Caenorhabditis elegans: one gene and its partners. The protein of the gene in region 3 purifies or fractionates together with the protein of the main gene of each other region. This does not show direct contact. Each region holds a gene or a part of one and is shown on either strand. Other genes may lie near its edges. The genes, in order: mtpn-1, B0261.8 and spk-1.

Region 1 (4,906 bases), on a different chromosome or scaffold from region 3:
AAAGCTGCTTCCAAAAGGCCTTTTTTCTGAACATGTTATACTTGTGTTATTAGTTACGTAGTGTACTCACAAGAAACCATATCAACCCTCGCTGATTAAGGTCAAGGTCGTAGGAGGGAAAAAATTTGTTGAACGTGTCCTGGAAAATTGAACGTATTGATATGACAAAGTTGCATAATGACGTACTTGGTAACGATGTTCAATTGGACTACGAATAAAGTCTTCCTTGATACCCGGCATTGTATATTGCATTGTTCCTCGAGCATCTGGTTTTGTGGACTGAAATATTAGAATTATTTTGTTAATTTTTGAATATCTAGACACATTTCTTAACTATTAGTTTTGGCAACAATATAAAAGTTTGTAAATATTTCCTCATTTTCTCCATTTTCCATACATCCCGATATTGCGAAAATCGATAAAATCTACATCTCTTTACCGCTGTTTATCCTTGCCATGTACCCCAAAAAGGTTTTTTTTTTCAAGTTTCTCAACAAAAAAATTATAAATGTAAATTTTTTGAATTTTACCGTTAGGAATAATAATTTCTAGGCCGGAAAAATAGTAACAAAAAAAAATTGAATAATTTTTGAACTCACTTTCAATCTAACTGATTCTGGCCAGTACAGTAGGTGTTTTTTGTCCTCGTAGGCATAATTCAGCATTCGGTCCTTCAATTTCACCCTAGAATTCGGCATTGTGGTAAAAGAGTCGACAAGTGCACATTTGCAGTTCAAATACGAATAATCCGATTGTTGTACGCGATCATTGACAAAATAGAATCAAAACCAAAATGGAAATGTTTTCTCGAAGCAAGCACCTTTATTATTTATATGGACGGGTGTACGGTGATAAGACACACAGTTGGGTGATAAAGCAAATTTAAAGCTGCAACAAAAAAAGCAGAGAACCGAGACAATATGTGGATGAACGAAATAAGCAACGGAATAAGGAAAACGCATCGGAAACAGACACATATGTGACAGGATTTCAATGAATGGGGGGAAGGAACAAGATCGATGATTGAAATTGACATCACAATGAAACTAAAAAGCGAAAGAGAGAAAAAGAAGTGAACATGAAAATTCCACATTTGGAAGAAGATAAAAAAGTAAAAAAGTACACAAAATGCCGCAATCGAGATTTAATGGTGAATAAATTAGCGAATGCTTGATAAAATATACTTATGCATGTATTAAAGTAAAATATGCTCAATTTTTAAGAAGTTCACGAATGTCTTCCTCCTCGGTGCAGTCGATGAGTGCCGTGCCGTCTGGGGCGTGTATCGAACGGTCCGCACCCTGAAAAGCAACTGATATATGAATATTATGTAATTTTTTTAAACTTCAAAAAAGCTTGTATCTAATAAAACTTGTATAATTGTTAAAATGTAATTTTCATGTTAAAGGTTAAGTTAGGGCGAGGAATCCGTTTCAAACCACGGTTGATTAGGTATATGTACCTCATTTATGTTTATTTTTTATTAATTGTTAAATACTTTTTGAGATGGTGTGGCGCCAGTGGGGAAATTGTTCTAAAGGTGAAGTAATGTGCAAAAAAATTTTAATTTTTTATGATTTTTTTTCCAATTTTGCAAAAATCGAAAAACAAGTCATGAATAAATTCGAATTCCCGCGCAAATGAGTGACATAATTTTTTGGCAAAATCACGTTTTCTGGCTAAATTCATCGGTATTACTTCAATATTTATACGCCGCTTGTCAATTTTGCAAACATTTTTCCATAGAGAATTTCTAATAACCCAAAAGAAAATTGCGAAAAGAAGTGCAAAATTGGTTGCAAAATTGACTAAGGATTTTTATTTATGGTTTTTTTGCTGGAAAATGTTTGAAAACTTAATAAACGGTATTTGAAATCAAATATTACAGAAAAATTCAAGAAAAACTGTATTTAGCCAGAAAACGCCAAATAGTCAAACATGACGTCACTCAATTGCGCGGGAATTGAAATTTAATTCGGCAGTTTTTTGGATTTTTGCAAATTTACAAAAATCATTTAAAAAAATTAATTATTACTGTTGTATTCGATCATAACCTTCGATTTTCTAAAATTTTGAGAAAATATTTTAAAGTATTTTTTTTTCTTTATTCCGCCTTAAAAAAAAATGGCTATGACACCACAATGATCAATTATCATAATAAAAATATTAAAGAAAAATCTAAATTTTAAATTATTTTTTTTTAATTGGAAAAATCTCAGGTTTTGCCACTTTTTGGAAGTTGTCGATCAAAAAAATTTTATTTCGAATTTTAATGCCTACTTACGTTTCAACTGTTGATATTTAAACAGCCTCGAAATTCGAACACGTAACAGTGCTATGGTTTTCTCAAAAAGTAAAATGCCAAAATTACAAAAGTTCTAGATTTTTTGTAAGATGAAGAGCAATGATTGAATTTTTAGAATATTTGAAACATTATTTGATGAGTTCAAAAATCGCCTTTTTTTTCGCCTACTCGTAAATTTTTTGAGGCGAAAACTGAGAAATAGCCGTTTTTGACAGCGAATAAAATTATTCTGGAAAGTTTCACTGTAAAATTTAAGCTTACTAGCACACGACAGGCGCTACTGCACCATAAAATACTCACGTTTTGGAGTAGCAGCTTCACCGCGTCGCGATGTCCTTCCCACACGGCAGACAACAGCGGTGTGATTCCGTATTTGTCCTTATCCTGAATCAACAAACATAAATGCATATTGTTGAATATCGTGCTGATTCACCTGAATATTCGCTCCAATGCTAATCAAATACGCAATGATAGAAGTCTGTCCGTAGTCGGCGGCAATTTGAATGGCGGTGCGGCCGTTGTAGATCTCGTGAACGTTCTTCTCGTTGACGCTCTGCTTCACTGCATCGATCTCTCCGTTTTGTACGTTCCAGGCGACGGACATCTGGAATTGTTGTGAGTTTTAATAGAAAATGTTCACAAAAATGTAAATAGCAGTAGGTTAGAAACCAGTGAAATAAAATCTCAAGGAAACTTCAAGAAAATTGAGCTTCAAACTTTTATTTACAAAATTTATGATACGTGTTTTAAAAAAACAAAACTGTAACAACAAAATATGTTAGAAATTGACAATTTGGATAAAAATTTGTATACAGAACAATATATCAGACTGGACAGCTAGTTTCCGCTGAACAACGCAAAAAATCGATGAGAAAGGCTGGTGTTGTGTGCTTAGTGTGCGCAGAGAAATGAAAAAAGAGATGAAGATCAGGTGTGAAAACATTGAAAAATGAAACAATAAACAACGGAAAACGAAATATCTCTGAAGTGTTGTTCAATTTTCAAGCAGCCGACACTGGACTGATAACTTCCTCTTCATCTTCGTCGGAAGAATCATCCGATTCATAGGGATATTCAGACTCCACAAAATATGGAACACCAAACGAATCTGCGTCTGTGAGACGATCAATTTGAACGTGACGCATTTGCTCTTCCAAATGAATTCGTTCCTGATCATTATTGTTATTGAGTTGAAATATGGGCCAGTAATGCCTCAAATGTCTTGTAATTTCGGTTTCAACATTTTGATTATTGCCAAAAATCCGATCATAATTCATTGTGATCCGATGGAGCAAAGGTACACGACCACCAGGTCGGCTGAGAGTTTTTGTCATAAAGATTGGAAACGAATTTTTGAATCCATCGGTAAGTTTGTAGCCTGAAAATTGAAATATGCTACAGATTGCTCAGTTTTCGAAAAGGAAAAAATAATTCAAAATAGTTCTGAAAAATGCTGAGTTGTCTCAAAATTACTGAAGGTTTTATCATGTTTTGGAATACATTTTCATAAAGCTTTATCCAATGTAAATAATTGTCATTCTGACACTAAAAACGCATTCTTAAGTCTTGATTGAAATTTTTTGAAGTGAAACATTCGTCTGCAAGGCTCACGCACCTTGTCTTTGTCATGATACTTTTTGCAACGTTATCAAAAAAATTTGATAAATCTATTCTCAACTCTACCTTTAAAAATATTCAAAGGGCTCATGAAACTTGGCTCAACTTGAAGAACGTCGTTGTTGATTACACCAAGCATATAGACGAGAAGTTTTCTGAAAATAGACAGATTTTTTTCTGAAGTAAAAAATTATCCAATTTACATACCCTGTATTTACAATAATGTATTGCTCACGTTGGTATCGCTGTCTCTCATGATGATTAAAATGACGACTAAAACGTCCCCAGTTGTACACATTATTTGCATTTGCTACAATGTGGAAATCAATTTCCTTTGCGATTCTGAAAATAAAATAAGAAAAGTTTGAATTTTTTCGAAAAAAGGTTGCTCAGATTCTTCAAACAAACCAAGAACTTGAGTTGCAACTTAATACTTTATTTAGTAATTATGGTATGTTTAAAAGAAATTTCCCCACTGGCCTTTAAAAAGAATAGTATAATTTTTTTAGATAACACACAAAAAAAAATTCAAAGGTATTAAACCACTTACTTTTCTTGCCAGTCTGGATCGATTTCAGTCATAACTGCTTTTAATTTTGTATCTATTTGGTACAGGTTATACAGACAGTGCAAAACCATTTCAAATGGACCAAACACTTGGTCAATCTGAAATTAAAAAATTAAATTAGATTTACTTGCTCATAAATCCTTCAATTAACCCCTTCTGCGTGCACATCTGGTAGAAACTTCATGAGTCGTTTGAAAAGAAGTTTGAAAAGTTCCGGATTACTATTCTGGTGATGTTGCTCCTTTTTGGGACACACTGCAGCGAGGCACTAAAATTATAAACTTGTATGTTTTGATGAGTTTTAAAAACTGTACCGTGTAATATACGCAACGTTGTTTTTCATCCATCATTGGCTCTAAAACTGCAAACTTCATCAGCTCATCGAACACGTTTTGTCGATAGTTGGGGAAGTACTT
Region 2 (3,746 bases), on a different chromosome or scaffold from region 3:
TATGTAAATTTTAATTTTTCTGGCTACTGTAGTTGACAGTTTCTGCATTGCAAAAGTGTAAGAACATTATCGCCGCCATTTTTTGAATTTCGTAAATAAAACGCGGGAAAAAATGTAAACAGTTTTTCCTTTCAATTGAGTTTTAATCTTTCGATTGAAAATTCTCTCATTTGCAAACTTCGAACCTTCACAATCCCATCGAAAAATGCTGCGTCGTATCAAGCGTTTTCTCGGATTATCGGTAAGGTTTTATGTTTACTATTTTATCGATTTTTAATAATTTTCAGACTCATGCTTACTTTCCAAACAATGAAGTGGCACCCACTGCCGACGGAAGTTTGATCTCCACAATGAGCCGAAAATCGACGAAATCGGAACGAAAAGCTGCGAAAAAGGAAAAGAAACGGAGTCAACTGGCTGATACATCCGCCCCGGCTATCTTCCATGGTTAGTTGTCTGAAACCATGATACAAATAAAATTTTAATGACGAATTTTCAGTTCCTACTGCGCCAGCCGATATCGTCACTGAAGGAGAAGGATCGACTGTAGGCCAAGGTTCTGAGATTGATCGTCGGACAGTTATCACCGACTCGCTTCCTTACCGAGAGCCCAGTGACAGTTAGTTTAGAAAAAAAATTATTGAATGTTATTGAGAAAATTTCAGAAGTTTACATGGGATCACCACCAAGCACTGTTCCGCAAGCTCCTGAGAGCAGCAGTAGCACTCGCAGCCTCGTCGGTTCAGATTCGATTAAATCTCGTTTGGAGTCTATGACTATTGACGGGACAAGCTCGGTGCTTCAACACGTGGATTCACTCACCAATTCAGTTTACTCGGCTGAATTCTGTCAAGAAGTGGTAAGGATATTCTAGTTATGAAACGAAACTAAAATAATTGAAATATCTTCAGGATTCTCAAAATACGTGTGATGCGAAGAGTCGTGAACTTCCAGTCGATTGTGACATTCCAACTGCTACTGAGCCACTACCAATCTCGACGAAATCTAACCCGGTTTCCAACTCATCGTTGACGTATATGGCTGATGTCAAGCTGATACTGCCGGATAAGCGAGATGAGAAATCGGAAGAAGTTGCTGGAATGAAGCAGGTATACTGATATATTGATATATCCCCATATCGTTCTATTATAATTATTTCCAGCTCAACGCCGAGCTTGACGGCTTATTGAAAACTTCTGCTCCTCCATTCCAAGTCTCAACTGCTCGTCTTCCACCAATGCTGAGAGAGCTTCCACCACCAGCCAATGATGAGTCAATGCTCAGTGGAAATGATGAATTTGACGATTCGAAGAACAATTCGGTTGCTCGGTATCTCAATGAATCGCATGAAGTGATGATGCGCAGTCCAGAGAACAAGCATCTTCGCAGCTGTGGATATTAAACCAGTTTTATATATTTTTACTGCACGATTGTATATTATTGAGTTTCCCCCATGATTTTGTAAAATATTCCCCCTAAAACTACTCAATCTCCTAACAACTATTTACGCATTCCTACATATATTTTGACGATGAATTTAAAGTTTGAAATGAAATCAGTTTCCTGTCAAACAAGTCTTGCAATGCAAATATAAACCTCAGTCTTCTTTTTTGCACCCATAATCATTCTCCTTTCCTCCTCTTTCTCTAATTTTTATCCTTTTTCTCGTTCACACCGGGTGAACATTTGTCCTCGTGTGCTGGCCGCTGCTGCAGTCGTCCATTTTCTTTTTCTCTTTTCATCCTCTCAATCTTTTTTCCACTTCTAATTCTCTCGATCTCCCTCAGTGTCTTTGTTTTCGTCGTCCGTCGTATGTCAAGTCTTCAATCCTAAATTTTATATTCTTTTGGAAATTTTATGAGCCAAAAACATTCCTGACTCTTAAAAACTATCCAAAAATGTTCAAAAGTGCAGCTGATCAACGATAATTTTTATTAATTTTAGGCATTCCATAGTAGGCAGGCACTTCTTCAGTCGTACGTGTCTGCCTTATGTCTATACGTATACGTGTTTTTTAAAGTCTAAAAAGTTTGAAGTACCAAGATGCGAAATCTTGCCCAAAAAGTACGGTGCACGATCTCGACACGACAAATTTTCGTGAATTGCAAAAAGTTCACATTTAAAGAGTACCGTAATACCATTCATAAAAAATCGTGAGAAAAATTTATGAAAGTTCCGCAGCAACTAACGTTTGAAGTTACAGTACTCTTTAAAGGCGCACACCATTTCTGCATTCAATAAAGGTCGATCATGTCGAGACCGGCTACCGTATTTTTGGCGCAAAAATTACGGTGTTTGATACATAGCAGTTCTCCTCGCTCTAAATTCTTCTAAGCCTTCATCAGATGAATAATAAGAAACAAGTATTTCAATTTCAGAACTATGGGAAGCCTTCTATCCACACCAGAGGGATCTAATCCTATCGGAAAAGCCATTGGTGAGTTATCATCTGTACTTTAATATTTTTACGATTTTACAAAAACTGGTGATTCAGGATTTCTTTCTCAACGCAAAAGACCAGCCGTCGAGCTCCAAGATGATTTTGAACCAGAAGTAAAAGTTCAGCGAACTTGTGAGGTCCAGGATGAAGAGGCGGAAGAAGAAAATATCGAGTTTGAGCATGAAATTGACGAGGAAGAGATTGAGGAGCAAGACGAAATTGTTCATGAACAATCTGAAAACGACCAAAACTTGAAGGATAGTGATGAAAAGAAAAACGAAATTGTTGCTCTCGAGAAGTCTACTGAAAAAGACGAGGAGCTTCCAATACCTGAAAAGGAGGCACAAGTGGATCAAGAAGACACTTTGGAGAATCTTTTTGAGAAGGAAACGGAATGTGAGTTCGTTAATTTGAAATTGATTTTTCGATTTTTCCTAATGTTGCTTTTTCAGCCAACAATACAAATGAGCAGCAAGAAAACGTTGAAACGAACGATACCACTTCCAATTTTGATCTCAACGAAGCAGAGGAAAGAGTCGACGTATTTTCAAACGGGCTTCTGACTTCAATCCAATCCACTCAACCAGAAATCATTGCATAAATTGAATTTATTAACTTATTTTTTATCAACGCCATTAAATTTTAATTTTTAAAATTTTTTTCAAAATATGTGACAAAATAAAATATTATAAACTTGAATTTTAGCTAATAAATTAACATATTATTAATAATACAGTAATATTTAATAATAAAACCATACTACGGTAGACAATGGCAAAGTCCGCAAACACTGTTAGGAAAATTGCGTACATTGCAATGATGCTCTATCGAAATAGTTTTTAGGATTTTTCTCTTAAAGTTTCTCTCATCATTTTCGCAACGCTATATTTTCTTTTTTATTTCAATTTAATATTAAAATAATCGCAATTTTTAGTAAACGAAGGATACTTTGGAGGAACCATTAATATTTTTCGAGCTTATAATTTTCTACCTTAATATCTAAACATTATAGTTCATTATCCCAATTTTTTCAGATAAAATGAGCTGTGTTGATAGTGTACACAGCAGTCGCGATCATTCGGTCCAACTTTCTCTGGAAAAGACTGCTTCTAGCAATGGGGACGAAAATTCAGAAGCGGATCCAGATCAGTCTTCGGGTGCGGTCAACCGTTCAAGATGGACTGAAAACGCCGCAAGATGCTACAAATGCAAGGACCTCGTGCCACACAAACTTCTCTTTGTCTGCCGACATGAAAAGTGCGCTGGAGTTTTCAAAGGAAACAAGAAATATGCTTCGCCGTTCGAC
Region 3 (8,457 bases):
CAAAAATATCTGATCAGTCGAATCAAAGAGCTTTGTGCCACTCAATTTATGGATGCATACAAATGGAATTCGGGTGGTTCAGAGCCAACCGATGATAACGATCAAATGACACGTCTTGTTCGCCGTGAATGGAATGATTCGTTGCCAACTGATGCAGTTCTCGTATTCGACATTTTTCTGGCTTATATGGATGCTCAACTCAATTCCAATTGTCTCGTTGGAGATAGTCGGTTAGTAATTGTTTTCTGGAATATATTAGATTTCAGTTAATCTGAAAAAAGTATACTTTTATAATCCTGTTTTAACGTTTAATTCAATAAATTGTGTTAAAAATTAAATCAATTTTCAGCCTTGACCAGCCATTCACCAGCCGATTCTGTGTCAAAAATGCTCAAAAACCATCATCTGCTCAACGTACTCCATTCAGTTTCTATCTTCACATGGTATGGCTTATAATAATTCACTCTTGTTCCTCCTCACTTCAAGAAATGTTTTTTCAGGTTACAAAATCTCCTCCACACGCTGAATTTGTGCACATTGATGAAAATGGATATGCAATTAAGTGCAACGTTCTCCGTCAATCACCCAATCTCTTCCGTGCTATCGCTCAATTTATTCATTTTGTGAAACATGAAAATCATGGATATCTGGATCAGACCTCAATCGGACCATCAGGAATTAACATGACATACGTCCTGGCGTGAAAAATTCAATTCAAGTTTTTATATGATGTTTATTATCGTATCCTTTAACAGGTTTTTATTTTCTCCCGCTTTGTTTTGTTGTTCTTTTGTTACGATCTCTCGACGACCACCCACATGAATCAATTATTTTTTATCTCGCTAACGTTACAAAATTCAATCATTTATGTCTACGAGGAAACCGAGATAATGAGAGAGAGAGAAGGGGAAAGGAAGCAATGAAGCACAGTAAAGATTTGAGAAAGGTTTATGCCAAATAGTTTGGGTATGTGAACAGACGGAGGAATATAAATGAAAAAGAAATGGGGGGAAAAGATGATCTACTGTTTGAGGCTGATAGAAGCATATGATGTTGTTGGGCAGAGGATAAGGACGATGTTCGTACAAAATAATTATATTATACCAGTAGCACTAAAGATCAAAAGGCGCTTCAACGAGACGCGCACGAGAGTGGCGCTAAACGTGCTTACTGCTCAGTCACTTCAGGAAGAACGGTGGTAAAAAAGAGAAAGGATGCGGTGATTCGATGTAGAAAGTGACAGGGAGAATGGGGAGATGAAGTAGTCGGATGATTGTTGAAATCCGAAACAATAAGTTAAACACTGTCTAGATTCAAAACATAAAAGTAAACACTCTGGAACAAAAGATTGGAAAATGCTGAAAAAAAAAATTAGCCCGAAGTGTTTTCTTTTCACCTATCGTAGGCAAGAAACGAGTAAAATTTGATTGAAAAAAGGAAAAACATAAAGATGAATATCGTCAAATTGACAGGAGAACATGTTTAACTCGGGAGATGTGCAAGAGGGCGTTGAAGAGTGACGAGACGGTGATGGAAGTGTTAACAAACAGGAGGGATTCGTGCACTACTGCAAATCCAGCTGAAAGCGTTCAATGTCAGAAATGTCGGTCGTTTCATTGTTTGTTATCACCCCCGATGGACCAGGTCGATTCATGTTGAACTCCTCCTCGTCGTCGTCGTCGCTGCCGCCCGCAGACCTGCTATTGGCACTCCTCTCGCTGCAATTTGCGTTTACATCCGCGTCGGTCCGAGCTTACGAACCTCGCCGATCTACTATCATTTTCGTCACGGTAAACTTCCTGATGCTCATTTCCGTCGAACGGCTCGGGAATCAATCCATCCGGAAACATCTTGCTCAGAAGCTGTAAAAATTATAGAGAAAATATTGAACAGACAATTAATATAAAACCTCAGGTGGACAATCAGATTTTGGCGCTCTTCCTCCAAATGGTAACAAGAACGGATGTTTCAATGCAATTTTGGCCGTAGATCGTTTCTCCTGATCGAAATCAAGCATCGGACGAAGGAAACTTTCAAACTGCTGCGCGTCTTCATGAGACCACTCGTATTTTTGTCTCAAAACCTCGTATAGTGACCATGGTTTAAGTTGGTGAATGTGAAGTAAGTGTCCATTTTTGTGGAAGAACTCTCTCCAATGTTTACCCTTTTTGTAAATTGACGGTGGAATTGCTCCAAGAAGTTCGGAAATGTGCGCAAGATGATCTTCATCGCGTGAATAGTTATCTCCTTGGTGTGGTTCAAACAAATAGTCACCGGTTGCCAATTCAAAAGCCATACACGCGGTACTCCAAATATCAGCTGGAGGTCCGTATCCTGAACCGATCAACACTTCAAGTGCTCTATACTGACGAGTTTGAATATCGTCCGTGTAGTGATGATTCACCCAACACGCGTTTCCGAGATCAGCGATTTTGACGTCGATGTCACAATATGGATCACCAATGTTGGGGCCAACTGGAGGAGCAGGCAGGATACCACCTGGAGGCAACTGGCTCATGGGCGAGCTCAGATATTCGGCGGATGGTGAGGCCAAATCTCCAAACTTGCTCTCCGGATCACTGAATGGAGTCAGCGTGGTTCTATCGAAACGATCAGGGCTCCTGATTTCCACCTGAAAATATAAATGGTTGTGGCTACAAAAATGAAATATATCATACCTTGTTTCTGTTTCCATTTTCATTGACAGTATCTTCCATGGTGACATCTTCCACTTGTGAAGCGTTGAAGTTCTCCAACTCCTGAAAAAATAAAAATTAAATTAATTGATTCAGATTTTTTTCTAAACTGAATTCACAACATGTTTAAGCTTATATATGATAAAAATTAGATACAGCACTGATGTATTTTCTGCAACAAAGACGAAACGACGAAAAAATGCAGACGGCATCCAGGGCGCAGCGGCAAAAAAAACCGAAACTAAATAGTCAGTGAATTTTAAAATAAAGAAACGGAAGGAGAAATGAGGTACGTGTGAATATACAAGCGTCTTCCGGTAATTTTGGTTGCAGAGTGGAAATAAGTGTGTGAATCGAGGAAGAGAGAGTAGAAGGGAACCATCATCATGTCAACACAACCAAACACTCACACCAACATTCGCATTCAGGATCACCTGTGTCAGATGATACGTCTGATTGCAGACGCATCCAACCTGTGGATAGAGAGATGGTGGTGGCGGTGGAACCGTTCTTGGAGACGATGGCGTATTCACACAAGAACTGCCTTGAAGCAGTTGGGGAATCGGACCATTGAAGAGCAAAGATGGAGGACGCATTCGGACACCATTTTGCTATATATCAGTTTTATCGTTTTTGTTTCGTTTTTTAAAAAATTATGATTGATAGAGTATAATCTTGATTTTTTAAAAATTACCAGCGTATTTCCTCTATTATTATTGCACATCGAAACTTTTCCAATGTTTGTCAACTAAGAAAATACTTTTTTATTTCTTTTTCTATCGTTTCAAAATTAAAATGTGAAATGATATCTTTGAAATGAACAGAGATATATTCTTTCAAATTTAAAAATTCAAGTATTGGGGTGCAATACTATTAGAAGAAGAACGGTATAGTGTTCAACTTACCGGTGCATTATTGTATGCCTCCTGCAGCCCATTAGCGTCCATTTTGAGGCCTTCGAGTCCAGCCAATTCCGCTTCCAACTTCTCTCGTTGTTTTTTGGCCTTCTTCTTCATCTTTTTCTTCTTGTTTTTCGTCATATTCTCCTGAGCCATTTTCACCAAATGATCCGGTGCAGTACTGACAGCCGATCCACTCATTTTCATATTCATCTTCCGGGCAACTACAGCATGTTGAGCCATAATCTGTAAAATTTTGAAAAATTAATTCCACAATTAATGGTTTTTAAAAAATACCTTGATCTCTTCTCGGCTCATCGTGATTAGCACATTTTCAGGTTTAATATCAGTATGAATGATGCCGCACTTTTCATGCATATATCCTAACGCCTCCAGAACTTGTCTGCATATTTTCCTAACTTGTTCCAGATGAAGTCCTCGATAATTTGAGCGTATAATCAGCTTTAACAGATTGCACCCAAGAACTTCAAACACCATAGCAACGTGCTGACCATTAATTCCCGTAACAGTGAATTCATCGAGCAATTGAACAACCTTGTGGCATCCGATGTCATTTGGATCAGCACTTCGTACGGATAGCAACAACTGAAATTATTCTCGTTTTATATTAGTCTTAATTTTTTTTTCTCGAGTCTCAGAGAATGTTGCATAAAAATCTATTGTTTCAGCACTACGTTACTTCAAAACTAACCTTAATTTCATCAAGAGCCGCTTCCGTGTAATGCTCCGCTGACTTCACTATTTTCATGGCAACAAATCGTTTGTCTTGAGTGTCCCACGCCAGCCAAACCGTAGAAAAGTGACCCCATCCAAGTTTACGAATCACATGATATCTCGCATTGAATACATCACCAATGTTGACTGGATGATATCCACCTCGTTTGTAATCACGTGGATCTTCTTGTTCTTCATCGTCAGATCCAAGTTGTTCTCCAGGATCCTGAAAATAAATATGTATAAATACAAAAAAATGAAATGCAAAAATCAACTCACCATTGGATCTTGGAATGAATCTGAATGTCCACCACCGCCGCCTCCAGGAGAATCACTTCGTCCGGGGCTCACACTTAAATCGTCCAAACGCTCTTCATTAGCATTGACTTCGGTCCTGAAAAATGTAAATTAAAAGACAGTTTCTGATTGATATTAGTAATACTAATTTAGTTAATGGAAAATAAATGTTACTTTTTGTTATTTCTTGGAATTATAGATGGACGAGGAATAGAAATAGAAGCTGAAGCGCATGCGGTTCCCAGATCATACTCGAACATCTGAATTTCGATATCTTCTGAGTCGTAAGAGGTAGCACTGTCGTCCCCGTCGTCGCCCGTTGAGGAAGACGATGTCGACGAGGAGACTGAAGAATCGATCGTCCCTTCACTCTCTTCACCCTCTTTTGCTGACCGCATTTCCACCGGAAGGTTATCGTATTTGGATGTGTCCTCATCGACAAGAACATCTTTTTCATTTTTATCGTCGTTCGAATGACACGACGCCAAATCTTCAGTTGCTGACTCTTCTGCTTCTTGTGATTCAATAGAGCTTACCGAATCAATTGATTCTTCGGTAGCATCATTCACATGAAAAGAATCATCTTGAGATTCAACGTCCTCTTCATCTGAGGCAGATACGCAAGAGTTCATGTCTTCATCAGAGCATCTTGAACCATCTTGTGATTGTAGCGACTGTTCATCGTCCTCATTCGAATGATCATTCTCATTTACAACACTTTTTTGTTGTACAGTTTCACCCTCTTCGCACAACGTTTCCGGTAGTTTACTGACTTCGGAAATGTTAGAGGTAACCATTAGAGCGTCTGATATATCGAAATTCGACGCGACGCCTCCATTATCTTCCGCACTAGCGAACACTAAATTAACTTCTGTCTCTTCATTTTGTGTACTCGTATTTATTTCTTGGGAAGAGATTTCTTCTTCTTCATTGGTCGAATTTTCTTTTTTATTTCTTTGCTTTACAAAGAAATAAAATCGATTCTGGTTGACCAAATCAACATTTATATGACAGGTTACGTCTGCAGATGATGCCAAAAGCTGTGTACAAATATCAGTTTCAGAATACGATTCGTGGTCATTCAGTTCTTCCGATTCCTCTGAATGAACACGAAAACGGCGGCGTCTCTGAACGGCTTCATCTTCGAATTTATAAAGTCGTTCTCGATGCTGGCTGAAGCCATTGAGCCATCTACAGAATAGAACCACAAACATGAATATGACAGTGGGGAAAACGTCAGTTAAGCTGAAGGAGCCGCCTGCTTCGACATCATTTGTTATACCCGAGTAATCGATAGCTGAGAGCGAATGTACTGCTCGACCGGCCAGCCTGACAGAAGAAAACTGGATTCAAAAGCAGGCGATTTTTTTTGAAATAGCGACCACGTAGAAGCGAGTTGCGACGCTTTGAGAGTGGGAAGGGGGATAAGGAAGATCAGCGGCGCGAGAAGTGTCTCGAGAATATTGGCGGCGGCCAACGAGGCGCGAGGAGCGACTTGAAGAAAACGCGATCGGTGTGAGAAGGAAGAGTGTTCAAGTGATAGTGATGTAATGATTGCGGCGCCCAACAAGAGATAGAGGAAATCCTGGGTCTCTCTTCCTTGTTTCAATCTTCAACTTGTCGGCCAGGTCGCGAAGAGGAGACAGCTGACAGAGAGAAAAGGCCAAGGTGAAGGAATAGAGAAGATAGAAAAGAAGGGACGAATGGATGGATGGGTGGATGGATGACGGACACACGAAGGTGGGATCATTTGAGACGAAGTGAAAAGACAACCAGTTGCTGTCATGAGAAAAGGACGATGCAACGATTACACCAAACAACTTATAATCATTTTGGTCCCGGTTTCAGCGATGTAATTAAAGCATATTAAAAAAAAAAACTCAAAATCTCACCTTTCCACGTGATTTGATCCGTTTGTTGTAACTGTTCCATTTTTCAAATTTGCGTTTTTCTCACCCGCTTGAGGAGATGTAGGCGTGTTTGGTGCTGTGGGCTGAAATATGAAGATTAAAAAAGCTTAATGGCAGAATTCTATTAAACTCACATTCAATCGGCGATATAGCCAATGTATTGAATGCAAAATACTAAGCATGCTCATAAATTTTCACTTTGTTTTGTTTTAAAACTAGTGTAAGAAAAGAAAATTAGTGGTTATCTCTACCCCTGGGTCATTAGCGGCTGCCACTGGCTCATAATGAAGCCGTTCTCATTTTACTTGAGGCAAAGGAGAAATCTAAGTTAAAACTGATGTGAGAATATATTAGTGGAGGGCTCGCATCCAAGAGAGTAAGCTCGGAAGTGCGTGAAATGAAGGGAATGCGACAGAGCTGTTTGAAGTTTTCAAATCTCTAGAGGCCATTAGAAAAAAAGAGTATTCTTTGGGTTCGATTTAGTGTCAGAACAGACTGAGCTTTAATTTTTCGAAAGTGTAAGTGTTTAGAAAAAGGGAAAACTTCTGAACAGAAACCGAAAAATGCTCACCTTTTTCTTATTGGTCTTCTTCTTCCTTTTCTTATTTGGCAGTGGTACTGTGCTGTTTTTTTCTGGTCCGCCCATATTCTACACTTAAACACGGTTCGTTTCACTGAAATTGATACAAATAAATAAAATAGGACTCATCAAAATTCGGGGAAAACAAGAAAACACTTCAGAGGAAAATGTTTTTGAGTTTTTAAAAGTTTGCGGAGGTTAATTGAACAACAAAAATGATGATAAAAAGATTATATCTGCCCGTACAAACATAAAATATAATTCTTGATAAGACCTATGCCAATTTCGAATGATAATAACGCTTTCAACGCGGAGGGCTCAAATTGGCGGCCGTTTTGCGCCAGAAATATCGATCTCGAGTTTGATCTGCAGGTTTGCTTGGGTACGGTGGGTTTGGCTTGCTGCCAAGAAGTGTATCATGCGCCTCCGTCTCTTATTTTCACACGCTCTCTCGCCTGCAATTCTCTATTTACAGTTGGTTTTTAGTTCGTTTTATCAGGAAAAAAGCGCATATTATTGCAAAAGTACATCATTTCTTTGTTTCTACATGTTAAATATTAATAGAGAATTTAAAAATAATGATGAGTGTTTAAAAAAATAATTTTTTTACTTTTCCCTTTTTATTTTATTTATTAATTTTTTATACTTCTATCAAAACTCAATCATTCAATATTCAGAATATACTCATTTTTGTGAAGATGAGCAGTTCGCTGCAATCAAATCGTCAGAGTCTGAATCGAAAAGTGGCCGTTATGGGATATCCTCATGTTGGTGAGCGTTTACGACAACTTTTTTTTGTAGAAAATCAAACATACCGGGAGCAAAATTGAACAAAGCAATGAAAAAATTAAAACAACTTTATTTAAACAAGGACATTCACGTTGAGAAACTTTACAGGAAAATCGGCGTTGGTACTTCGTTTCACACAAAATATTTTCCCTGAAAGGTATGAATCAACAATTGAGGATCAACATTCGAAGCACATAGCAGCGTTTCACAGGGACTATCATTTAAGAGTCACTGGTAAATTTTATCATTTTTTGAGCTTACTGAAAACTGATATTAGATATTTCCAGACACAGCAGGACAACAAGAATACACAGTTTTCCCGAGAAGTTGTTCCCTTGATATTAATGGATTTATACTTGTTTATGCAATCGATGATAGAAAATCGTAAGACTTCCGTTTTTTCTTTATTTGTTTTATTTAGATTTATAAATTCAGATTCGAAATGTGCAGCAACATCTATGAAAAAATCGTAAGAACCTATGGTGACACAAGGTATTTGAGCAGAAAGTAAAATTGCAGTCAAAAATCAAGAATTTCCAGCATTCCAATTG

What was found.
Region 1: the proteins of spk-1 (region 3) and mtpn-1 fractionate together in Caenorhabditis elegans (co-fractionation; one large-scale study listed by BioGRID). This does not show direct contact.
Region 2: the proteins of spk-1 (region 3) and B0261.8 fractionate together in Caenorhabditis elegans (co-fractionation; one large-scale study listed by BioGRID). This does not show direct contact.

Annotation. Positions count from the first base shown.
Region 1 is NC_003284.9:2,405,470-2,410,375, reverse strand, and holds mtpn-1 (ANK_REP_REGION domain-containing protein), read right to left. Parts: upstream 2,910-4,906; coding exon 2,739-2,909; intron 2,690-2,738; coding exon 2,606-2,689; intron 1,302-2,605; coding exon 1,212-1,301; 3' UTR 809-1,211; downstream 1-808. Other genes in the region: trpp-12 (TRansport Protein Particle), read right to left, coding at 1-26, 71-139, 187-279, 600-665; C43H6.4 (PH domain-containing protein), read right to left, coding at 3,307-3,683, 3,989-4,077, 4,130-4,264, 4,473-4,588, 4,642-4,758, 4,805-4,906.
Region 2 is NC_003279.8:5,270,668-5,274,413, reverse strand, and holds B0261.8 (uncharacterized protein), read left to right. Parts: upstream 1-2,372; 5' UTR 2,373-2,382; coding exon 2,383-2,437; intron 2,438-2,494; coding exon 2,495-2,836; intron 2,837-2,892; coding exon 2,893-3,041; 3' UTR 3,042-3,149; downstream 3,150-3,746. Other genes in the region: C01G8.1 (uncharacterized protein), read left to right, coding at 206-241, 288-447, 500-619, 666-859, 912-1,109, 1,163-1,402; B0261.7 (Zf-tcix domain-containing protein), read left to right, coding at 3,480-3,746.
Region 3 is NC_003281.10:9,455,368-9,463,824, reverse strand, and holds spk-1 (Serine/threonine-protein kinase spk-1), read right to left. Parts: upstream 6,298-8,457; 5' UTR 5,842-6,297; coding exon 4,802-5,841; intron 4,725-4,801; coding exon 4,610-4,724; intron 4,557-4,609; coding exon 4,308-4,556; intron 4,202-4,307; coding exon 3,893-4,201; intron 3,842-3,892; coding exon 3,602-3,841; intron 3,308-3,601; coding exon of another isoform or gene 3,131-3,307; intron 2,760-3,130; coding exon 2,679-2,759; intron 2,633-2,678; coding exon 1,910-2,632; intron 1,863-1,909; coding exon 1,762-1,862; intron 1,719-1,761; coding exon 1,565-1,718; 3' UTR 818-1,564; downstream 1-817. Other genes in the region: B0464.6 (uncharacterized protein), read left to right, coding at 1-230, 350-443, 501-704; rheb-1 (GTP-binding protein Rheb homolog 1), read left to right, coding at 7,816-7,888, 8,015-8,140, 8,194-8,290, 8,342-8,398, 8,447-8,457. UniProt on the Caenorhabditis elegans protein: Required for embryogenesis and germline development in both adult hermaphrodites and males. SR-protein kinase (SRPK) that binds directly to and phosphorylates the RS domain of rsp-3/CeSF2 in vitro.